Daphnia pulex: one gene and its partners. The protein of the gene in region 6 binds, or shares a complex with, the protein of the main gene of each other region. Links are inferred from orthologs where the notes say so. Each region holds a gene or a part of one and is shown on either strand. Other genes may lie near its edges.

Region 1 (3,892 bases), on a different chromosome or scaffold from region 6:
ATTTTCTTTTTGTTTAAATTCAATTTTTGTTTAAATAATGTCATCATTACAATTATTATAGACCAAAGTGTGTGTGGTTCGTGTTGGAGTTTTGGAACTGTAGGAACTCTTGAAGGAGCCCTCTTCCTCAAAACGGGTAAACTGACTCCACTCTCACAACAGGTAAATTAACATCAAATATTTTGTTTCAATGAAATTAATGATGGGAATATGTTTGTTTTAGGCTCTTGTTGATTGCAGTTGGGGTTTTGGCAATAACGGTTGCGACGGTATGTTATTTCATTTGAATATATTTTCACTTTTTCTTCTAAAGTTGTTCTTTGTTTTAAATTTTACCATTTCTTCGCATAATTGTTCGTCAATTAAAGGTGGTGAAGATTTCCGAGTATACCAGTGGATGATGAAGCACGGAGGTATTCCTTCAGAGGAGAGTTATGGACCTTACTTGGGTGCTGATGGTTATTGCCATGTAGACAATGCGACTCTCGTAGCCTCCATTAAAGGCTATGTTAATGTAACATCAGGAGACGTCGATGCGTTGCGTGTTGCCATCTTTAAGTATGGCCCAATCTCCGTTGCTATCGGTAATAAAACGCGGAGGAGTTGTAGTGAAGTCAGGTGGTAATAATTTTCTTTATCGAAACTATTAAAATAGATGCTGCGCATCGTGCATTTTCTTTTTACGCCAACGGAGTTTACTACAATCCTGAATGCGGTAATAATTTTTAAAATCTCGTAATAATATCATGCAATTACCTTTTCTAAAAGAATACTTTCTTTCTTTGAAATCTGTGGCACCATCACACTCATCCTTGAATTACTTTTTTAAACTGTAGGCAGCGGAGAAGACAGCTTGGACCACGCTGTTTTAGCTGTAGGGTATGGAATTCTAAAAGGCGAGCCATACTGGTTGGTAAAAAATTCGTGGTCGACTTATTGGGGAAATTCTGGGTATGTTTTGATGTCACAAAAAGAAAATAATTGTGGCGTCGCGACTTCACCTACTTATGTGATCATGTGAGATTCCAAACATTAAATTTTGTGTTTGCTCCCATCATGAGTAGAAATCTATAGAAAAGCTTGGGAAAAAACAGTAAACATGGATCTCTACGTCTGAGTTTGAATAAAATTGATTGTGGCTATCAAATATTTGTCAGCTGCTATTAAAAAAAAAAAATGTGCTTCGATTTTTTTTTCTTTTTAAAAATTGCATTTTGGCGTTCTGACGTTCTTTTAATGAAACGTGCACCAACGCTAGGTCACGTGACGTAGCAACTAGCAAGTTGTAGCGTCTGCTTTGAACAAAAATGGGTCCCAAAGCTCAACAGAAGCCAGCAACAGAATTCAAATTTAAAGAAGGTTTGTTTTATTAGTCAAATATATCTTTGGATAACTAAATTTAAACGATTAAACAAAATAATAGGGGAACGAGTTCTTTGTTTTCACGGTCCGCTTTTATATGAAGCCAAAAGCCTCAAAGCAGAATTCAAGGATCAACAGAACAAATACTTGATACATTATGCTGGCTGGAATAAAAAGTAAAATCAAAGTGAAATTTATATTGATGAAACTTCCATAACATTTTCCTCTGCTGTTTATACAGTTGGGATGAGTGGGTGCCTGAAAACCGTGTGCTGAAGTACAATGACCAAGCTCTTCAAAAACAGAAAGAACTCCTCAAAGCTCATGAAGCTACATCGTAACTATTGACTTTCATCAACGACTAAGGCTGATTGATCATCTTATTTGGTTTTTCAATTTCTTTGGAACAGGAAAGGAAAGAAACAAATCAAAGGTGTTTCTACCCCTGTTGGCAAACCTCCAGGCCGAAGATCAGAATCATCTAAAGGTGGAGGCAACCTGTCAGATGCTAATACATCAGGCAAAGAAACAGATAGTAGATCTTCTACACCATCACTTCAAGGTACCTTGTCAAAAGTGGTACACATGATGCCATTGTCAGACTATTTGTCTTTCCTTGAAATCAGTCAAGATCAGTGTTACGAAAAATAACATAAAAATTGCTTATATTCCAACAGAAAAACCCACCAAAAGACCTGCCACAGCCTCTACGACAACAACACCTTCTACCACCACTGCTGGTACAGCATCATCTTCTGAAAGCTCAAGAAAGAAGACCAGACCTGACTCTACTGTTGAATCAGTGAGATTTCACATACACTTTCTAAATCTTTTCAACAATGTAGCATTAAAAAACCATTTACTTATAGGAAGAACAGTTTTTATCCAAGGTTGAAGTGAAAATAAAGATTCCAGATGAGTTGAAACCCTGGCTTGTTGATGACTGGGACTATATTAACCGCCAGAAAAAAGTACGTGATTTGAAACGTTAAAGATATTATCTTTCCAGCAATATTTCACTGAGTCACCAAAAACTCATTTCATCCAATTACGCAACAGTTGGCGAACTTACCATCCAAAGTGCCCGTTGACACCATTCTAGAAGATTACATCAAGCACAAAAGCAGCAACCGGACGACCACCCCAAGCAAGTATGTCGCAATTCCGCTGTTACTGCTAGCAAAATGAATACCAATAGCATACATACATTGTGTGTATTTGCTAAACCAAGTGGAGAAACTTTTTTTTTATTTATTTCTTTCCTTTAATTCCTCCATTTTTAGAGAGAGTGCCATTCAGGAGGTCATGGCCGGCTTGAAAGAATATTTCAATGTAACGCTCGGTTCTTCGTTGCTGTATAAATTTGAGAGATTACAATATGCTGATGTAAGTCATGAAGTGAAATTCACAGTGATATACTATACGTTCATACGTTGATTCTTTATATGGCTATAGATTTTGAAGAATCACCCTGACAAAATGATGAGCCAAATTTATGGAGCCCCCCATCTTTTACGCATGTTCAGTAAGTTTCAATTGATTTCAAACCACCATTTAACATATTTAAAATAAACATTATCGTACAGCCCGGCTAGGAAGTATGCTGGCGTATACCCCACTTGATGAAAAGTCGATCCAACTGCTCCACGTTCACCTCCAAGATTTTTTAAAGTAAGTCTGAAAACGAAAGAAACATTTTATTTAAAGACGTTGATTTACATCGGCAGCTGTGATCACGACAGATACATGGGACGCAACGCTTCGACGCTGTTCAGTGCTCAGGATTATGGCAACGCATCGGCTGAATATCACCGCCGCGCTTGCTGAAATACCACGTCAGTGTATCTTTTTTCATTTTTTTTTCGTCGGAAATATTTTTTTCTTTCCAATGTCTCACACATATAAACGAGCCGATTTGAAATCTGGTAAACTTTAAAAATAAAGAAAGAAAAAAGTTTTTTTTTTTAAGCCTCATGTGTAACACAGTGACTTGCCATCGTGTAAACGTAATACATTCAATTGTTACGCGGTTTTTTTTACGGTTCTGCGAATTCTACCGATGACGCCAATCTCTTTGACCCAGCTGGTCTGTTTTTAGACAAGCAATTAATTGTCCTGTTTGTCGGATAGGGAGTCGAGAACAATCGTCGTGTATTATTTCCTTCATTGGGCTCGACATCCGCTCGGAATGGAGTGTGTGTCTAGAGATTTTCGGCTAGATTTTGGTAGTGATCCTCTCTCAAATTGGCATAGACAAAACTCGTGTGTGCAGTGAAAGTGGGCTTTTGAGATGGGAACAACACATCGTCACGGTCCAACTATGTGTACCCCGTCTTCCTCGCTCAGTATTTACTATCTGCTGGTCATTTAAACCCAAACATTGAAATGATAGCCGAGCTGTTCGTGACCGAGAAGAGAAAACAAAACGCTCGTGAGATGAGTGTGTCGTGTAGATTTTTGGGTCTTTGCGTCTATCTTTTTTCATTTTTCGGTGACTGGGCGGATGCAGCGAAGACGAGGGTGATAATAC
Region 2 (2,663 bases), on a different chromosome or scaffold from region 6:
ACATCAATGATCTTTTTCAGGATTGAGCGGAACCTCATTTGAAGAGCATCTGCCTTCTTTTTAAGAAGACCATGGCCTTTCTGTGCACCGGCAAGCCGATGTTTCATCAAAGTCTGTGCTCTGATTGTGTCAAGAGAAAGGAATTAAACCAAAAACTTGAAAGTTGTTATTGAGCTCTAATATGTTCTAAATTACAACTGAATCGTCTTAAAGATAAATATGACATACCCTCGAGAAGGAAAAATGGCAATTTTGTCTTTTCCCGACATTGTGTGATTAAAACTGGATCTGAATAATACAATACAAACGAATAGGGTTCGTAAGAGGGTTTAGTGTGTGGTTACCGAATTTTGACAAGAATCATCTGATCATGTGACAACAAGAGAAGGAAGAGAGGGGGAGGAGCAAATGAGCTTTCAAATCCATCTGGCGATAGAAGGATGAAACATATTTACGTAATAAGTCTGAATCGGAAAATGAATTGCGAGAACATTGGAATGTTTAATTCGAGCATTTATTCAGAAAACCAGAAAATTGACACACAGACATAAAGTTTGTTTAACACTTAGGAAGGTACATTCATAAGGGCATTCACGAAACCATGTTATAGAGAATAGGAAAATGAACAGTGAATATGAAATTATTTCAGTTTTGACTTCTTGCTCCCTCTTTTATTTATATGTCTGGATTTTGAAACTTTTCCTAACTTATCACCATTGACCCCCTCTAAACCGAGAAAATCTCTGCTGTTTTCGTCACTTCCACTCATTCCTGCTTGTGATTCAGTTTCACTGCTTCGTTCTGCTCTCTCAGAATTCAGATCAATGATCCCGCTCACAGCCTAGGTTTGAAAGAAATTTTATTTCTGTTAATTCAGTAGAAGTGTCATGCAATTCTACCGCCATAGAAGTAATTGAAGACTTGGAGAAAAGTCTTTCATTTTCCTTGAATTTCCTGTTCCTTTTGTCAGATGAAGGGTTTGACAGTTTGCTAGTACTGTTTAAATAACGGTCCCATCCTCGAATAATATTTCCGTAAAGCTGTGTATCTTCCAGGTAACTACCTTCGAATGCATAAATTTGTCTTTCCAAGTTGGCTAGGGTTTCCTACAAAACACAAATATAAACAATGAAGTAGGCAGTTTTTAAGGTTAAATTTGAATTCATTCTTACGGCGACTTCGATTCTTCGTTTGACGAGGTCAGAAAGTTCAGATCGTAAATCGGAGCTGGATGTATTTTTAGTCATTTTACAAGCCAAAATTTCGCCCTTTTCTTTTGTTGTTCAGGCGATGCTGGCGGCCATTTAATTTCGGGTTTCTTTATTGTCCGCCATGTCGCTAGTGAACGTGGCGGTGCAGACAACGTTATTCAAATGGCGGGTATACTGCCGGACGAAAAAAAGAGCTGTGATGATAACGAGGAAAAAATCATAAAATGTCCCCCTAAATCTAAAATTGGCTATGTATATTCACCGGAATTAATTCATCAATGTAATAGAGTACCAAACCTGAAGAACAGGGTAACATTTTTTTTCCATTCACCACTAAAAAATGTCACAGTTAAATTTTGACATACTTAAGCATTATGTACAACTAACTTTCAATAGTACATATAACGTATTTTGATCTCACTTTTGCTTTGTTTCTTTTCAGGCCTCATTAGTTCATCATTTGCTGGAATCTTATGGACTCTTAGATCATGTCTTGCTTTTAAACTGTGATAAAGTTAATGATGACGTCTTTCAAGGATTTCATTCTGCCGATTACATTGAATTCCTCAAAGGTGATGTGGATGTAGAGGATGAATCCAGTGAGGAATATGGTTTAGGTAATATGAATATGGAAACATGTAATGGAAATGTTAATTTATCACATTAAAATCTAATCAAGGATTTGACTGCCCCCCACTTGACAAGCTTGATGACTTTATCTCTGTGATAGCTGGTGGATCTGTAGCAGGAGCCAAAGCACTTGTTTCTGGATCTGTTGATGTGGCAGTAAATTTCTGTGGAGGCTGGCATCACGCTCAGAGAGATTGTGCATCAGGATTCTGCTACATCAATGACTGTACAATAATTTAATATTTTTATAATGAAAACACAAGGTAAAACTATTGGATTTTCAGGTGTTCTTGCCATCCTAGAATTGGAAAGAAAATTCAAACTCGTACTTTATATTGACTTGGATATTCACCACGGTAAGTCCAACCCTTTTTCAGTGTAAATGTATACAAGGATTGATACAAACCCATTTTTATTTATTTAAGGAGACGGAGTTGAAAATGCTTTCGCTTACAGCCGCAAAGTGTTTACGCTATCGTTACATAAACATGAAGAAGGATATTTTCCGGGTACAGGTTCAGTCAACGACACTGGTTTCGGCAGGGGTCGCAACTATTCATGCAATGTTCCACTCAGAGATGGGGCTTGCGATGAAACTTTCATCCACGTCTTTCAAACGTATAAATTTTCTTTTGTCTCCTTAAAACCTACAATGTGGTTCATCATCATTCATTCATCTGTGACAAAAGAGTTTTCCAGGAAGTAATGAAACGTTTTCGTCCGGAAGCAATTGTATGTCAATGTGGAGCAGATGGCCTAGCTAACGATCCATTAGGGACATTTAACTTGACACCCGTTGCATACGCCCGCTGCACCGCTGTC
Region 3 (3,515 bases), about 2.5 Mb from region 6:
TTCTCAATATTCTAAAAGACATGTATAAACAAGAACTACTAAAAAGTCGTGATTCTCAACTTACCAAAAATGTGTTTGCTTGTTATCGAGATATTCCCTACCGGCTAGCTGCTCACTCGACGAGAATCAACACGTGCCAGGCTGCCAGCACTGGAACGTTTTCAAGTAGAGTGGGATATATGTTTTGTGAATTTTTCAAAACCGCAGTAGACACTTGATTACAAGCAACCGCTATTTTATTCTCTCACGATAGCAACACTCTTTTGAGATAAAACGTCTCAATAAATACCGTGACGCAGTTTCACCAGCACATTCTTCCACTCAGCTGTTTTTCACACTGATTTGTGCAATGTCAGCCGGGTTGAAAGAGCCTGAGGCATCTTTTTCAAACCTAGTGGTAATATTTTGCAACAGTTAAATAATAAAAACCAAAAACTTTAAAAAAAATAAAATAATTGAAAAAAATAAAATAAACATGAAAAAAAGACGAAAAAAGATGAAAAAAAAGAAATACATTTTATTGTTGAAAAACTCATACATCAAAACGTTGAAGACATAAAGAAAATCCATGTTCTTCATATTCTCGACGTGTTACCAACTGAGAAGAAAATTGAGGATCTTTAGTTAAGCTACATCCTCCTCGCCAGGCATCTGTGACTGGACTATAAGGAGTTGAAAGATGAGATATTGGGTGATGGTTAATGTCGATTCAAATAAATGAATGGTAAAATATTGTATTTTACTTGGATGCCATGTTGATACGGACTTCGCACTCGGCCGGAGCCATCGTCCTAACATCTTTTTCAACCCTTTCTTTGAAGTTGAGCAAAGAACAAGATCCGCCGATCAGCAAAATATTTTTGTACAAATGGCTTTGAACTTCGGAAGGAAATTGTTCAATCACGTGAACAATGGCTTCGGATATTCCCATTTGCTGGATTCCAATGTCAGATGGATGAAACAACAGTTCTGGGACAGCGAAACGTTCGTTATTCATCCTGATAACCTAGCAAGACGAAAAGTGTAATGTATTATAACATTTGAACAAAAACGTCTGGCATCAGCAAAAAATTTCAGACCTGTTCGCCGGACCCTGCTTCGTCCTTTGGTCGCACATAGCCTCTACGAATGGTTGTAAAATCAGGAAGGATGTAGTCTACAACGAACGGATTGTCTTTTCCTCTCTTTTGAGACAACGCCATATCGCTATTAAAATCTGTGGATACAATGCAAGTGTCTTCTTTCAACTGGTTGATAACGTACGTTTCATCCATGACGTTCAATTGCCTGTAAATGGCAATTAAAACATACTATTTTAAAAACTTGTTATTTATTTATAACTTGTGTGTGAAGGTTACCTATAGGAAATTATGTCTTTCAGATGATTGGTTAATACCTTGCCGCCAATTTCAATCCTATGAACAAATTCTGTGATTTTCTTTCCTTGTACATAAGGGATTAAGTGTGTGAAACTGTAACCACAGTCTACCACCAAGCAGCACAATTCAGAAGGGTTCTCTTTTCCATATTTGTAGGCACTCAAAGTTCCAGCTGTAATAACATTAAAATTCCATGAGGAAAAGATTAAATTAATTAACCAGAGACAAAAACTCACGGTTAATTGTCAGGAGAGATTCACACTCCACTTCTTCAAACCAATATTCACATATTCCTTCCTGAATAGACTGGAAATTTAGATATGGCTGAGTCAAAACAAGTGAAGTTGAATTGATGTGAACATTAAAGCAGTCTTTTCCCATCAAGTAATCCCAAACATCTTTCTGAGTGTCCCAATTAATTAGATAGCCCTAAATTAAAAAGATATAGTAAATTCATTTTTATAAATTGTGAAGTAATTAAGTTGCATACTTTTTGAACAGGGAGTATATAGTAGAGACCAGAAACATCCCGACATTCATCAAGCTGGTCACCGATGAAAGGCCTCCTTCTTTCACTTTTTGCTTTCATTACTGCATTTGGCATGACACTATTGAGGGTGGATATGGTTTATACTAAACGAAAACATTATGAATCTTTGTTATATTTACCGGGGTTCTGCATTATTTGCAAAACCGGCTTTGATGTTGAATCCTCCATTATCCAACACAAAAATGTGCTTTGCAGCCATTGTTGATGCTAGTGGGAGAGAAGGAAATGCATTTTGTATCAATATTAAGCTGTTACAATAACTTTTTACTAAATCAAAACATACATTATTAGTTTTGGAGTAAAATAAGAAAAAAACCTTTCAAACGCTGCGTCGAAAAACGAAAAACAATAATAACAAATGAGCAAATGCGCAATTTAGTGAAGTTGTCCCAGTTTTATTTAATTCGTTCATTTCGGGTCGACAATCAATGAATCAAGTAGATTTTCGATTTATTTAGCTTCATTAATATTTATGCAGTTTAGAATTTCGGGTCGACAATCAATGAATCAAGTAGATTTTCGATTTATTTAGCTTCATTAATATTTATGCAGTTTAGAAAAATGAAATAATGCGTCACTGTTATAAATTTACACCTAAAATGGTTAGGAAAGAATTTGCATAAAAAGAAAATACGCATGTGCTATATTGATAGATGTCGACGATAGGTGAGGAAGAATGAGACCAGTTTATCGTAATATGACATCCGGAACGAGATCTATATGTGACGGTGCGTCCGCTCAACGACTGAACGGGCCGGTAATTATTTACCAAAGTTAAACTATCTCTTCCTTTTAAAAGTCTAAATTTCGATAGCTGTAATTTTTTTTTTTGGATAATAGTATTAAAACAAAAATACTTTAAACATGAAGGAATCTCTACCTGGCTCTCGGAGATAGTGATGGAATCATCAAAAACAGTCCAGATAATAATTTCCTCACATCCGGGCGTTGTAAAAGAACCGGAATAGCGGAAGAATGTGGTGGTTCGAGACGGTAATAAATCTTTAAATGAAATCAGATTTACCAGTGTCGTTTCGTCACCGTCTTCGTCAACTTCATTCAACTGATCAACGACAGCTCGGAATGCTGAATTAATCTTTTTCCCTACCTTTGACATTTGTTTTAGAATAACTCGAATAATATTAAGAAGATTAGCTAAATTAACAAACCTTAATGAGAACACCCAAAACGGCTAGACCGTCATCATATTTCGTCGCTTCGGAGAACGATCCGTATTTGGTATTATAGTGAACCAAGTGAAGTTCAGCCGAATATCTTTAAAAATAATTTAAAAATAATCATAATTTCCACAATAATTTAAAAAATTAAATTAAATGTGCACTTTTTAGATTTGATTCGATGCTCGCTGCCGTGCGATGAATCATTTCCCCAGTGAAAGTGAAATTGAACGAAATTGTATCGATTTGATAATCCGCCGCCGGTAATAAAGGGTATAGACTCTGCCGGAATGCTCGAGGGAAGGCTAAACAACACTGCGCAAGCCACAATATATAAAAACATAAAACAACAATAATAATTTTATTCGTGTATCCTCTTACCTGTGTGTCCATTATTGGTAACAGTCA
Region 4 (2,541 bases), on a different chromosome or scaffold from region 6:
CAATTCCCACACATCGTCGTCGAATCGTTTTGGTGTATACTGCATAAGTAGACTGTCTAGACCAACTTTTCACCTAGAAAATAAATTAAATATTTTGATCACCATTGTTTACTTATCTGTAAAACAAATTTTACGGAGAACTGCGCCAAAGCAATTTTGTGGGGAACACTTTTGACTTTTCAAATATTACACACAAACTAAACAGTTCGCAGCAGCAAAAATTATTGGTTTAAAATCCGGTGTGATCTCAAATCCATATGATTTTATAGCGTTGTCGCTCTTCGGAGAAACCAGAGATAAACTAAGTTATTGTGCATTCAATAGAAATCTAATAGAATAATTCCTGCTAGTAATTCATAAATACATCAAAAGTTAGAATAGCTAAGCTTCTTAAAAGCTTTCTTGGTAAATCACACAGATTGTTTAGTACTCTAACCTTCCATTAGGATAGTAGAGCAGATGAAAGTATTAGATTCATAAAAATAAGCAAAAGCAAAACATATGTTTTCTGATTTTTCTTCAGCAGCAGAGCATACAAAACAAGGTATATCAGTTAAGGTTTGGTGCCCACCAAAACCCCCTGATTGGCAACTTTATTTTCTCCTTCATTATCAGGAGCTGTAGATGGGAGTTCATTTTGATTTCGTATCCTGATATTATTCTTTTCCTTGAAGTCATTAATTTCTTGTCCCTTGGTGGAAATTTGATTATTGAGAACTTCAATTACTTTAGTCATCTATATAAAAAATAAATTGTAATTAAAATTACAACCAAATAATACAATATGAAAACAAGTTACCTGGTCCCTGTTTGATGTCAGTGCAGGCAGAACTTCTTTGACAGTTCGTTCAACTAGTACTCCACCAACCATGCGAAAGCACTTCCTGTCTTCATCCACATTTTGAAGGGTTTCTATTACTAGTCTGAGTAAGAAAAAAAATATGACATAGTTAATAGTAGGAGTAAATTATCCTCTACACGCTATGGAAGTCTGTTTATAAAGTGAAACCGGTAAAACTTACTTGTGCTCGTTTAGATCCATTTCGAGCTCAGATAATTTACTAGCTAGTTGTCTCTGTTCAGTTCGTAATCTTTGAAATCCTTGGATGACTTCTTCATTCGATTTGCTAACATTTTTCGGAGCATTTTTAGCTTGCTTTTTGCTTCCGTCAGTCGCCATTTTTTACGTATCAAAAGCACTAAGCAGCAGACAAACTTCAGGCTATTCTACTTCCTACCCTCCTAGTTCCTATTTGAGACTAGCGGTAGAATGTAGCGAAGTCGACGATCGACGATTGTCGAAATTGACTTAGGCCTATTTGCAGATTGCAGAGCACCGAGAACAATAATCGTCTTAATGATAATGAAATAATTTAATAATAAATTAGTCTTAGACACGAAGACGAAGTCTATAGAAAATCTGAGAAAAACGACAAACGGAGGAGGCGAAAATATTTCCATAATACCATCATACCGGCAACGCCGGTTGTTCTGCCGTTTGAATATTTTCCCATTTGTCCAAAACCGTCCAGTAGCAGCAGCACCGTAGTAGACCACGGTTTAGGGTTTTAGAGTTTAGAAGTTTAGACATTGGTATACAGGTATATACAATTACAACACATTTTGAAAATTTAGACCAATCTAAACGTTTTTTACGAAAATGTAAGTGAATAAGTAAGTTTGAACTTCGTGTTTTTGTAAATGTTTCATGTTTTGATTTTGAAATTGACAGATAACATGGAAACCAAGCAGCCACTTAAAGAGAACTCTTCAAACCAACCTACTGTTAAGTTGGAAAACTCAAAGTATGTTAGAATTTTTTGTTTTTCAGAATCCAACAAAGTGTTTCTCATTTATCTTCTTGACTTAAATATTTTAATTGTGGCATTAATCTTCCAAATCATGTGTGTTTCTCTGCTTGTTTGTTTCAACCCAGATGGAGTCTTGATAACTTCGAAATTGGCCGTCCTCTTGGTAAAGGGAAGTTTGGAAATGTGTACTTGGCTAGAGAAATCAATACCAAATACATTGTAGCCCTGAAGGTTTTGTTTAAATCTCAACTACAAAAATGTCAGATGGAACACCAGTTGAGACGTGAAATTGAAATCCAGTCACATTTACGGTACATACTAATGAGATCACATGTTTTATGGAAAATTTATATCACTAATGCACATCAACCTTTTCTGCGACTCTACTGTAGACATCCCAATGTTTTACGCATGCACGGATATTTTTATGATGAAACTCGTATTTACCTCATCTTGGAATTCGCCGCAAATGGAGAAATGTACAAGTACCTGAAACGCCAACCCAATGGCCGTTTTTCTGAACCACAGTAAATTTTTTAAAATAACAGAAACATAAGTTCTGTGGAAAATAATTTACCCCTATTTTTAGGACGGCCAATTACATGGCTCAGCTAGCTGATGCATTGATATACTGTCACGCGCGGAAAGTAATCCACCGAGATATTAAGCCAGAAAATCTTTTACTAGGATTTCATGGAGAAATTAAAATAGCCGATTTTGGTTGGTCCGT
Region 5 (2,279 bases), about 3.3 Mb from region 6:
AATAGATACGGCAATGTGTTCTTATTATTAGGCCGAGGTTGATGAATACCAAAGCTACGACAACGCAATGAACGCATTGAAAGAAGCGCACAAAATTATGTCCAAAACTCCTGAAAGTAGTCAATCAACAAGATCTAAAGCACTTTATATGAAAATGGCTTTTCTGGAGCAGTTCATTAACATCAGAAAAATGTCTGCCACAAACCTACAAGGAATTTCTCAGTTTGAAAGTATCTTACAATCATCTAGCATGGATTTAGGCATTTTGAAACCAGGAAATGTTTACTCTGCTATTTTCCAACTTTATGTTGATCACCAAATGCACAATGAAGCCCTCCAAACTTTGAATGGGATGAAAGCAACTGTTCCAAAGTTCATGAATTATTTGGATCCTGACATGGTGTCTCAATTATGCCTAATTCAAAATGTGTCATCAACATTATATCTCGAACAAGGTAACCAAAATGGAGAGGAAAACTCAGAGGATATAAGAGAAATTATTAATCACAGAAAATAATTTATTGATGATATTCAGACTTCACTTAGAAAGTGCTTGCATTATAATCTCAGCTTCTTTAGATATTGGTTTTAAATCAAACCCTTTCAGTTCTGGTTTCCCTTCAAGATCTCTCAAATGTTTCACTTGTTCTTTAAGCTTGTTGCGATGTTCAGATATCTCTTGATCAACCTCTTTTAACTCTGCAGGAGAAAGGCGACAATTTGAATTAATTTTGTTGAAATTTAAATGCTAATTTTAAATACCTCGTTCCAACAAGTTTTGCGCCTTGGACGTCCTTATTTTTACGAATATGTTTCCAATCGACACCCATGCCTTTTCACTAGGTTCCAAGCCATTTTTCAAAGCCCGAAAAGCTTCCCGTGTTTTTTGGCGCTTGAAATCCAATGCTACTATCTCGTCTCTGGTGATAAAAATCTCTTGGGCAGCAGCTTCAGTTTGAAGTATCAACTGTTGTGTCTTTTCGAAATCCATGGCACAATCTTTTTGTTTAGTTTGAAAGTTTGAAGAGATTGTTCTTGTTTGCTGTTGTATCGTCTGCTATTCATTTGCCCCATTGCCAAAATTGACGAACAAAATCAAAAGAACCAAATTTTGTATTGTTTCTCTGTCTTCAGTAATTTTGTTACCTTTTATTTTATTGTAACTGTTCTGCATGATATCTTGAATATTAGAGTTTGATTCAAAACTGATAATCATTAATCAATCAAGCGCAATTTCAGTGTTTAACGTGTTAACACTGTCTGTCGACTGCTCTGTGAGAAAGAGCTATCGGCAAGTGGCTCAAAAACAACAAAACAGATGAATACTCTAGTTCGTCTTCTACCTGAATCGTGTTTGCAAGCGTTAACTGCGGCATATTTTCGCTGTACGTCTACAGTTTTTATTTGAACATTATTTTGTCAACAAATTGAACATTTTCTTAAAAATTATTCTTTGTAGTTTCTGCTTGGAGAGCCCTTGGTTCAAGAAGTCACAGCCAGCTCAAAACTTGTATTGACTCAAAGATGAAAGTCCATATCATTCCAGCTTTGCAAGATAACTACATGTATTTGGTATGCAAACTTTTTGGATTCGGCTTATCACATGTAAAATACATTTCATACTTAAACTATAGTTGGTGGATGAGAGCTCAAATGAAGCTGCAATTGTAGACCCAGTAAACCCTAGCAAAGTGGTTGAAATTGTAAATCAGGAAAATGTGAAATTGACCACTGTTCTTACTACTCATCATCATTGGTTTGTTTTATCATTAGTATAGTAAATTTTTAATTTAAATGTTTGGGATTTTGTTTTTAATGACAGGGATCATGCAGGTGGCAATGAAGAATTAGTAAAACTTGTTCCTGGGCTTGCAGTATATGGTGGAGATAACCGTATTGGAGCGTTGAATAAGAAGGTTTCTCATGGAGATAAACTTCAGGTTGGAAACCTAGAAATTCAATGTCTATTTACACCATGCCACACTTCTGGGCATATTTGTTATTATTTGCCCTCAAGCAGTGTCAATGGACAATCAGCAGTATTCACTGGTGAGTAAAACTTTGAAAATATTCTAGTGGTTAAATGAGTAAATATTTTCAATATTGTTTCTTCAATATTAGGTGATACTCTCTTTCAAGGAGGATGTGGTAGGTTTTTCGAAGGAACGGCTGATCAAATGTATCATGCATTGATCAATGTCCTCGGCGCTCTTCCTGATGATACTCGTGTTTACTGTGGTCATGAATACTCTTTGCAAAATCTAGCTTTTGGACTTCAT
Region 6 (3,836 bases):
AAGAACTAATCTGTGTACTTTTATGGATTGACCTTCAGCAGCCAGGACTACATCTACCAGACTTTCTCTCACGAGCAAAGAGTCGAGGACGGATACCAGAGTACTGTGATGATTGTTCCATTTGAGACAAAACTCTTGAATGTCGTGCTGGCCCATCATCGCAGGCACACACGTCCACCTGTTTTAATTCGGAAATGCACAACCAGACCCTTGGTATTTTTCACCAAAGCCTTCGTGAGATAACAACAACAATTCACCCCTATGAGAAGACCAATTTATGGCGTTGGCGAAATTCTGAGACCAGTAATTCGAACCAGCTTATGATCCAGTGAGTTAACAATCCAGCAGGTGTGTTGTGTATAAAAATTCACAAAGATTGAAAGACGCCATCTCTAACAAGTATTTTTCGTCTGCTATTTGGCGCGGCGTCGTTGTCAAATCAAAATATCCGAGGTGAAATTTTTCCCCTGTTCAGAATTCAATCAATGTTTTTAGTAAAGCTCGATCCATTTTAATGTATTTTAATCGTTCAAAACGGCTTCCTGTTTTTATTTTGTACACCCGTTTTTAGATGAAAGAAGTTAAAAGTCCGTAACTTTTGAGAGAGCAGCTATCCAACGACACCAAGTTTCGAATAGAAAAGCGGTACACAGAGCTAAATATGTTGGTCATGAGAAATGTGTTTAGAAAAATGGAAGCGGAGTAGCGTGACGAACTGAATTGGTTATTCGTGGAGGATAATTTTATTAAGAAAAATGGAAAGAAACACACAGACCAGCAAATTTGACTCGATTCCTCATTTCATGTACTTGTCTTTGTCTTGCGTCAGGATCTTGGCTGATGATTTGGCATCGAGAAACAGACCTCCGACTTCTTTTATATCTTCATTGGTGATGGAAGAGCGACCGTTAACTTTAGCTGTCAGGGCGCCGGGTGTAAGTAGCTGAACCGCATACCTAAACCAAGAACATTTGATTGTTTAATAAGATCATTTTTTTGCTTTACAATTTTTGTTCTTACCTCAGAGTAGTTCGATTGCCAAGTTCACCAAGAGCTTGGAGGGCATCGTCTTCAATGCTCAATCCTTCTGTTTTGGCACGAATGCGGATAATTTGTACCATCTCTTCGGCGGTGTACTTCATCGTCCGAAGAATGAGAAGTCTGTCGAGTAGATCAAGAGGAATACCATGTGGAGCCACAATATCATCGGTACCCCTGACTGTGCACATGCCTCGATTAGTGGCAAAGATAACGATGGGGGCGATAGCCGATTCCAGCGCTTTTTGGAGATAGGTAAAGCATTCCATGTCCTGAAATTCAATTAAAATCAATCACTAACTTTGAATATCTTTATTTTTATTGGTCTATTACCAGCATGTGAACTTCGTCGATGAATAACACGCCGGGTACAAGCTCTGCAATTCCCTGGTCAATGTACTTGTTGACTACCTTGTTGATTTCTCTCCTCAGCTTGTCTACAATTAAAATGTAAATTTAAATCTTGGTAAGCATTTTTGAAGTATATGAAAATATTACCTGTGATTTCGGTTTTTTTCGGCTTCATTAGCTGTCCCATCATGGAAAGAATGTCTTGGCCTCCCTGTGGGCGGGCATTAGCCACGTCCAAATCGTGTAGGGTGACGTCCTGGACAATTTCTTTCTTTTTGTGAACATCGCCTTTAGGAAGAGGGACATATTCTTCGGCTTCGAGATCGAACTCGGTGGCAAACGTATCAGATCGGCCTTGACGTTTAACCGCTCCGCTATTGGCTTCAATGTAAATGACGTCACCAATTTCAACACGTTCCTTCTGGAGAGATTCGTAGATGGAAGGATCCAACTTGAGCTGCTTTGTTCCTTTAGCCGTCTTCAGTCCAATGATTACATGACTGACAGTTTTGCCATATCCTGTAAAACAAATAACTGGTAGTAAAATTTGTCATAAAAATCAACTGAGTTGTTAACTTTTACCTCCCATAGGATTCTCAGTTTCAACTGGGGTAAGTTCAATGACTTCTCCTTCATAAACTTCTTTCGTTTCCTTGATACGAAGGCCAATAGCTCTACGAAAGTTTTCCATTAAAACTTCAGTTTTCTTGATTTCAGTGCTGAAGACTTCTGAGCCCACCATAGGACAAAAAGGAACCTGTATATGAAATTTTAATTTTCAATTTCTTCAACTTGTAAACAGTTAAAGCAGGACTGACCTTGTTGCCTAAATCTTGAGCAATTGCCATGGCGAGGGCAGTTTTGCCAGTTCCTGGTGGCCCGGCAAACAACACAGCCCTTCCAGCCATACGTTTAGACCTGATCAAATCCACCACCAAACCAGCTGCCTGTGAAATGTAGAGCAAACAGTTGTTGAGTACATTTCTCTTAGAAAACTGAAAAAAATTGTGTGTTACCTCTCTGGCTTGCGTTTGGCCAACAAGGCCGGCAGCGATGTTTATGGCATTGCCGGATTCATCCAAACCGAGACCCTTCACGTGGCTGTGAGCCGAAATTCTTTGAGTTTTGACCGTGCTTCTAACTTCTTCAATCTTCATTTTGTTATTTATAAAAGACTTGCAAATTTACAGAAAAAATGTGGACGCCTTAAGAAGAACACGAGACGAAGTTGCTTCAGGGTTTCTATGGTAACAACCGGCAGTCCCGCCAGATTAAACGCCACCTGGTAGACCTTGACTCAACTGTGTAGTAAAAGGATTTTTTTTTAAGCAGAATGTTTTTTGTTTTTTACCCTTTTTTAAAAGAAAAAGCACCATGGAAGAAAATTTACATGCAAATCATTCTGTAAGTTTTAAATTATCAAGCACCAGGATTCGGCAACCAGGCTATCGGGTTGATGGGGTCCATGGGGATTGGCTGCTCACTGAGATCTAAGATGATTTGAGTGGTTGCCGAAGCCGTTAAACGAAATTAAACTGAAACACCTGTCGTCTGGTAAACAAACAAGCTTGTTCTTTCTTCTATTCATTGATTCATTTCGATTTCATGTTTCACTGGGAAGTGCTAAAATCTTTTACATCCGTCGCAGTAGTCAAATTGTTACAAGCGTGTGACGAAAGTCGTGAAGTTTGTCTGCAGTTATTTCCTCAATTTCAAACACAAACAAACAATTAGCCTATACGAACCCCATTATAGACTTCAAACGTGCCTTCACTTAAAAGTACTAATTAAAGAATAGATCCAACAATAGTTTCGTTTATCTATTTCGTGTATGACCTACACATTTTTCATACACACGCAGGAATAGGCGAAGGAGAGGTGCGGCAAAGTAGACACGCTGCAAGTTCGATGACTTGACACATAACACGCATTGATGCTGTAGTCTTTTTTAGAATGTTGTCGTCTTTTTAAACACAGAGTAACAGAATATTTCATGGCTGTTGTTATTTTGTTGTCTGGTATTTTCGGCACATTGGAGAAAGAATAATGGAAACCGTTGTTTTCAAACTCGTTATCAGTAAATATTAGAAAGCTCGCTGTTTCACTGCTGAGCGCGAGCACTCGAACGTGAATGTGCCCTCAATTTTCTCAAACTGATTCTCATTAAAACATTATCTGGTGCATTCGCATGCGATTATTTGCTAACTAAACTCTCCTCGCTCCAGAAGGTCATATAAAACAAAAATGGAGATGAAACTACTACCAAAACACCTTTTCGTTTCGAAATGGATTAAATACTGAGCTCGATTTGACATACAGAACCCGTTACAAGGTATATTTTTATTTTAAAATGATACATCACATTCTTATCGGTTTTTTTAACAATAATTCTTTATTAATTAGTACTTCAAAATGCCTTCCGATTAAGAACGAGAATGATCTTTGAC
Region 7 (4,146 bases), on a different chromosome or scaffold from region 6:
CTGTCGAAATGGAGGACAAGTACAGATATTTCGATAAACGAATCTGGTATGAGGTATAATGAAGATAATTTAACTTAACTTAATCTTTGATTTTAATATAAACATTTCCCTCACTAGATATTTCCCTCACTAATGGAAATCACACCAGCGGCAGGCTACCAATTCGATTCACTGCTACGTGCGAAAATTTCTCTGTAAGCCTGAATGGTTAAATTCAATCTCTAAAAGGTTCTAAATACAAAATTGGACTCAAATCTACTGAGTGTTGTTAAAGATGGAACGAAATTTTTTCGTAAAAAGAAGGTGACGTCCGAACTCCGAAGACACGGATTTTTTAAGAAGGTTTTTTCGGACTTTCGGAGCCCAATTTAGATCGCTTTTCAGACGGCTCTTTCACATAGACACATGAGTTGAGTCAAAGACAAGACAAAGTCAAAGCACACATGTCACTTTTAATTAGTTTTCATGTTATTTATTTCAAATATTTCAATATTTACAAATTACCCGAAGGGTTACTGGTCAAAGTTTCGTTTGCAGTATGGTTTACATGGGCACCCTCAGTTCTCGTAACACTACATAGATGGATGCACTAGTTTTTGGCAATTATTGATTGTAATCAACAATTTTATTGCATTTCAATGGCAGTAATCGGTAGCTTACAATTTTTTACATCTATTCTGAAAATTTGGCTGCAATCAATTCAGGCATTTGATCAAACGGAGTTCTGGTTACTTTTTGACAGAATTTCAATAGCTGTTACAGCAGACGATAATACAGAGACATGTGACAGGGATATAAACGTAACGTGACAATCGACTACTATTGTATGATAGAATAGAAGTCACTGTATGTTATCACCGAACGCTATCAATCTCCAGTAACAGAAGTGCTGATAGGTAGTTACTTAAATTTAATTTTAACAAGATCCGGTGTGACGTGGGGTGGCGGGGCGAAGCCTCCGCCGCACCAAAGTCACGCGGAAATATTCTTTTAATCTCTTTCTCGATTTATGCTTATTACAATCTTCCGGAAACTAAGGGCATAAATTTTTTTTAAATGTTATTAATCCATCTTAATAATAGGCCTACCTTTATAACAGAATATTTTTATTATTCTATAACTATTCTATAGCTCTGTCTTTGTAAAACTATACCAATACTACTATACCAACTAGAATACCCTTAACATTCCCTTCGGGTACCTTGCGGCGTACGTACGCTGCCTACAGTATAACTAGGACTGGCAGTAGGCGGCAGTAGGCTAACACTAGACCAAGTGAGCACAACTCCTAGTGACCAAATTGCTCGCTAGAGGGAATCTGCAGACATTCACTCGCTCGCGTCATCACATTAGATTCCTGTAGATCAACTGCAGAAAAGAAGCAGTGATCCAAGCCATCCGTCAAAAGCGTATAAGAAAAAGAAAATTTCTCAAAACTTAAATAAATTTTATTGTCGATTTCAATCAATTTGTACCAAAATGTTGTACTTAGAAGATTATTTGGAAAGTATGATGAGTGTTTCAAGTGATGATAAAGTTCCCTGATTAAAATTTTTAAATTACCATCTCCCCATTGTAGTGATAGAGCATTTGCCCCAAGAACTGAGGGATCGATTTACTGAAATGCGCGAAATGGATTTACAAGTTCAAAGTAACTCTCGAATAAGTTGTAGAAAATGTAATAGGGATGTTCGGCGTGTCGGGCCGTTTACTTACAGTTTCCAAGTTGAATAAATTAGACACGAACAAAACCGTGTCTTTTACCTCTCGTCTATTTTAACACACTGAATATTGTACAGTAAATTGGGGGGGAATAAACAATAGGGGGGTAGGGAAACAACGACTGAATTTGGGGACCAACGACTGAATTTGGGGCCACCTATCGGGGGCCCCCAAGGCAATAGTCGCGTAGGTGCGCCGGTGTTGTTGTGCGGCGCCCTGATCTCGTCGTCGTCTGTTGGAATGGAATATTCCTAACACACTCCCCACCAGAGCCCGTAGCATCCGGCTCGACATCTTCGACGACGTCTTCCGGTTCTTCGGGAGCTGGCATAGCGTCTCCGATAGCGAGATCGATTTCTGGTTCTGGCAGAGTTGGATTTGGATCCTCTTCCGGCTCCTGGATCGGTTCCGGATTTCCAATTTCGACGTCTTCGGCGAGATCTTCTCGCAGCTCTATAGGGTGAAGACATTGAATGGCTCTATTAATTAAATTACCATTTGGAATCTTGAGCATGACAGAACGGATGAGTCCGTCGCGGCTTGGAATCAGTTCCTTCACTACTCCGGTAGACCACATGAGTCGTTTGGAGTGTTCGTCGTGGATAACAACGACTTCTCCTAGGCGGATCTTCCTTCCGGATTTTCCTTTGGAGTGGAAGTTGTCTAGTTGGAGTAGATAATCGTCGACGAATCTAGCACAGATGTCAGCGACATATTCCCTCCTGTTCTTGTCCATCTCTTGTAGTACGATGCTGGTCGATGTAGGATCCAGCAAGTTAACGGCTGGCTCCGGATCGGCACGAGTAGAACGTCTGTTGTTTAGAAATTGGTTAGGAGTTATCGGAAGTGGATCGTCAGCTCCTTCCCCAATATAGCTGAGTGGGCGGGCGTTGATTACGCTCTCGATTTCTGCTAAACTCGCTTCCAGTTCCATGTAGTCAAGGCAGGCTCGACCGTTGGAGCGTCGCAGCAGATCCTTGACGCTCCTCACCATCCGTTCCCAGAATCCTCCCCACCATGGCGCTAGGCTGGCGGAAAATATCCAAAGGGTTTTTCTGGACGCGAGAAAGTCTTGAATGATGGGATCGGCGTGAATAGTTCTCAGGAATCGGTCGACACATCGGAACGTTTGCGCGTTGTCCGAATACATCACTGAGACGGGTCCTCGTCTAGCTGCGAATTTTCGAAAGGCTAGTAAGAAGGAACGCGCCGTCATATCGGGTAGTAGTTCCAAGTGAACCGCTCGAGTGACTGCACACGTAAAAAGACAAACATAACTTTTAAGATGGTTCGTTTTCTTAGCTTTAGTTGTTGTTATTAAGATGTCTTGGATTTCGACATCTTCTTCGACTGAATCCTCTTCGCCTACGATTAGAGCTTCGATTGGAGCGTCTCCTTCAGCGGGTGGCTCCTCGATTCGCTCTTCAGTTGGATCGTCTGCTGGCGTCGGATCCTGGACGCTTGGTGGAGCTTTCCTTTTCTTCCTTCGCTGTGCTGGTTTGTACAGCAGTGGTCCAGCGAAATCGACTCCTGTAACGTGAAAAGATTGCGCATGTTTGAGTCGGTTTAAAGGAAGAGGGGCTGCTAGTTCTTGCTGTCGTCCTTTAACTATCCAGAATTTTTCTTTTAACTCGGATAGTGTTACTTTTGCTCCTGCATGTAGTAGTGACTCGTGTTTGTCTGTAATTAAGAAAGTGATTACTATATGTGATGCAGGAAGCAAAATTGGGGGATCGATGTTTCTATCTCTTAGGGCAAGTGATACTCTCCCATGGATTCGAACGAGACGGTCTCTGGCGTCCCAGATTGGAAAAAGTGCAGCGATTTTCTCCTTGGGCTGGATTGTGTTGTCTAACTGTAGCGATTCAAACGCCTTAGGATACCGCTCTCGTTGGAGCTGTCTGTAGATCGTTAGTTCCGCTTCATCCAGCTCCTCTCTGGATAATCTTGTAATCCGGATAACTTTTCCACTTCCTTTTCCATCTGGTCCAATTGCCTTTATCGACTCCATTCGTTCTGGACCGGGAGGTCTGAGCTTCTTTTGACTCCTGCTGAGGAATCGTGAGACCCAGGCTGTACGTCTTAACAGTCGATTCCAGGTGGAAATTTTGTCGAGATTCCAGTCGACGGAGGCTGTTGGAATTGCGATGGCTGCTGTTGTGCTGACCGTCGTACTCCTAGCTTCCGATTCCATTTCGGACTGGATTGTTTGTGGAATTTGGTCGTTGGGAGAATCTGGCCATTCCGTTTCTTCTCCTTTGAGCCAAATCGGGCCGTTCCACCAAAGAGTTGAGGTTACCAGCGTTGGCGCTGGCGCTCCCCGCGAGGCAAGATCGGCCGGATTTTGGAGACCTGGACAGTGTCTCCACCACTCGGGTTGTGAAAATTTTCGTATCGTCTCCACTTGGTTTCGGACGAATGGTT

The links.
Region 1: ruvB-like helicase 1 (region 6) and mortality factor 4-like protein 1 share a complex: the UniProt entries of both Homo sapiens proteins name them as parts of the nuA4 histone acetyltransferase complex. The link is inferred for Daphnia pulex from reciprocal best matches to the Homo sapiens genes RUVBL1 and MORF4L1.
Region 2: ruvB-like helicase 1 (region 6) and chromatin modification-related protein MEAF6-like share a complex: the UniProt entries of both Homo sapiens proteins name them as parts of the nuA4 histone acetyltransferase complex. The link is inferred for Daphnia pulex from reciprocal best matches to the Homo sapiens genes RUVBL1 and MEAF6.
Region 3: the proteins of ruvB-like helicase 1 (region 6) and actin-related protein 6-like are in contact, whole or in part, in a cryo-EM structure (PDB 6IGM), measured with the Homo sapiens proteins. The link is inferred for Daphnia pulex from reciprocal best matches to the Homo sapiens genes RUVBL1 and ACTR6. Residues at the interface, in NP_003698.1 of Homo sapiens: Lys162, Thr163, Ala164, Lys165, Gly166, Thr167, Tyr209; in NP_071941.1 of Homo sapiens: Tyr217, Tyr300, Arg338, Cys339, Leu340, Thr341, Pro342, Thr343.
Region 4: ruvB-like helicase 1 (region 6) and prefoldin subunit 2-like share a complex: the UniProt entries of both Homo sapiens proteins name them as parts of the PAQosome complex. The link is inferred for Daphnia pulex from reciprocal best matches to the Homo sapiens genes RUVBL1 and PFDN2.
Region 5: ruvB-like helicase 1 (region 6) and p53 and DNA damage-regulated protein 1-like share a complex: the UniProt entries of both Homo sapiens proteins name them as parts of the PAQosome complex. The link is inferred for Daphnia pulex from reciprocal best matches to the Homo sapiens genes RUVBL1 and PDRG1.
Region 7: ruvB-like helicase 1 (region 6) and inhibitor of growth protein 3-like share a complex: the UniProt entries of both Homo sapiens proteins name them as parts of the SWR1-like complex. The link is inferred for Daphnia pulex from reciprocal best matches to the Homo sapiens genes RUVBL1 and ING3.

The regions. Positions count from the first base shown.
Region 1 is NC_060018.1:5,689,381-5,693,272, forward strand, and holds mortality factor 4-like protein 1, read left to right. Parts: upstream 1-1,215; 5' UTR 1,216-1,307; coding exon 1,308-1,359; intron 1,360-1,423; coding exon 1,424-1,538; intron 1,539-1,603; coding exon 1,604-1,699; intron 1,700-1,772; coding exon 1,773-1,924; intron 1,925-2,039; coding exon 2,040-2,164; intron 2,165-2,231; coding exon 2,232-2,333; intron 2,334-2,421; coding exon 2,422-2,513; intron 2,514-2,645; coding exon 2,646-2,748; intron 2,749-2,817; coding exon 2,818-2,887; intron 2,888-2,948; coding exon 2,949-3,033; intron 3,034-3,104; coding exon 3,105-3,189; 3' UTR 3,190-3,392; downstream 3,393-3,892. Other genes in the region: digestive cysteine proteinase 1-like, read left to right, coding at 62-162, 224-269, 369-584, 656-715, 837-1,021. UniProt on the Homo sapiens protein: Component of the NuA4 histone acetyltransferase (HAT) complex which is involved in transcriptional activation of select genes principally by acetylation of nucleosomal histones H4 and H2A.
Region 2 is NC_060026.1:14,091,069-14,093,731, forward strand, and holds chromatin modification-related protein MEAF6-like, read right to left. Parts: upstream 1,316-2,663; 5' UTR 1,248-1,315; coding exon 1,173-1,247; intron 1,107-1,172; coding exon 900-1,106; intron 842-899; coding exon 641-841; 3' UTR 501-640; downstream 1-500. Other genes in the region: V-type proton ATPase subunit D-like, read right to left, coding at 3-120, 229-269; histone deacetylase 8-like, read left to right, coding at 1,374-1,520, 1,654-1,828, 1,891-2,067, 2,126-2,197, 2,267-2,459, 2,531-2,663.
Region 3 is NC_060023.1:9,663,279-9,666,793, forward strand, and holds actin-related protein 6-like, read right to left. Parts: upstream 2,305-3,515; 5' UTR 2,246-2,304; exon of another isoform or gene 2,213-2,245; intron 2,137-2,212; 5' UTR 2,129-2,136; coding exon 2,049-2,128; intron 1,988-2,048; coding exon 1,870-1,987; intron 1,809-1,869; coding exon 1,616-1,808; intron 1,552-1,615; coding exon 1,359-1,551; intron 1,288-1,358; coding exon 1,080-1,287; intron 1,007-1,079; coding exon 744-1,006; intron 663-743; coding exon 533-662; 3' UTR 501-532; downstream 1-500. Other genes in the region: carbonic anhydrase 2-like, read right to left, coding at 2,510-2,743, 2,810-3,037, 3,099-3,204, 3,272-3,422, 3,489-3,515. UniProt on the Homo sapiens protein: Required for formation and/or maintenance of proper nucleolar structure and function. Plays a dual role in the regulation of ribosomal DNA (rDNA) transcription.
Region 4 is NC_060024.1:9,271,865-9,274,405, forward strand, and holds prefoldin subunit 2-like, read right to left. Parts: upstream 1,268-2,541; 5' UTR 1,181-1,267; coding exon 1,023-1,180; intron 924-1,022; coding exon 800-923; intron 737-799; coding exon 554-736; 3' UTR 501-553; downstream 1-500. Other genes in the region: aurora kinase-like, read left to right, coding at 1,738-1,805, 1,937-2,122, 2,204-2,338, 2,401-2,541. UniProt on the Homo sapiens protein: Binds specifically to cytosolic chaperonin (c-CPN) and transfers target proteins to it. Binds to nascent polypeptide chain and promotes folding in an environment in which there are many competing pathways for nonnative proteins.
Region 5 is NC_060023.1:8,880,313-8,882,591, reverse strand, and holds p53 and DNA damage-regulated protein 1-like, read right to left. Parts: upstream 992-2,279; coding exon 763-991; exon of another isoform or gene 700-762; coding exon 539-699; 3' UTR 518-538; downstream 1-517. Other genes in the region: intraflagellar transport protein 140 homolog, read left to right, coding at 32-517; hydroxyacylglutathione hydrolase, mitochondrial-like, read left to right, coding at 1,319-1,385, 1,460-1,572, 1,635-1,756, 1,823-2,049, 2,122-2,279. UniProt on the Homo sapiens protein: May play a role in chaperone-mediated protein folding.
Region 6 is NC_060023.1:12,188,576-12,192,411, forward strand, and holds ruvB-like helicase 1, read right to left. Parts: upstream 2,679-3,836; 5' UTR 2,547-2,678; coding exon 2,406-2,546; intron 2,337-2,405; coding exon 2,208-2,336; intron 2,147-2,207; coding exon 1,972-2,146; intron 1,909-1,971; coding exon 1,537-1,908; intron 1,476-1,536; coding exon 1,372-1,475; intron 1,311-1,371; coding exon 1,021-1,310; intron 957-1,020; coding exon 797-956; 3' UTR 501-796; downstream 1-500. Other genes in the region: longitudinals lacking protein, isoforms A/B/D/L-like, read right to left, coding at 1-159. UniProt on the Homo sapiens protein: Possesses single-stranded DNA-stimulated ATPase and ATP-dependent DNA helicase (3' to 5') activity; hexamerization is thought to be critical for ATP hydrolysis and adjacent subunits in the ring-like structure contribute to the ATPase activity.
Region 7 is NC_060019.1:7,721,594-7,725,739, reverse strand, and holds the start of inhibitor of growth protein 3-like, read left to right. Parts: upstream 1-1,346; 5' UTR 1,347-1,479; coding exon 1,480-1,507; intron 1,508-1,579; coding exon 1,580-1,651; intron 1,652-4,146. Other genes in the region: uncharacterized protein LOC124190484, read left to right, coding at 1-37. UniProt on the Homo sapiens protein: Component of the NuA4 histone acetyltransferase (HAT) complex which is involved in transcriptional activation of select genes principally by acetylation of nucleosomal histones H4 and H2A.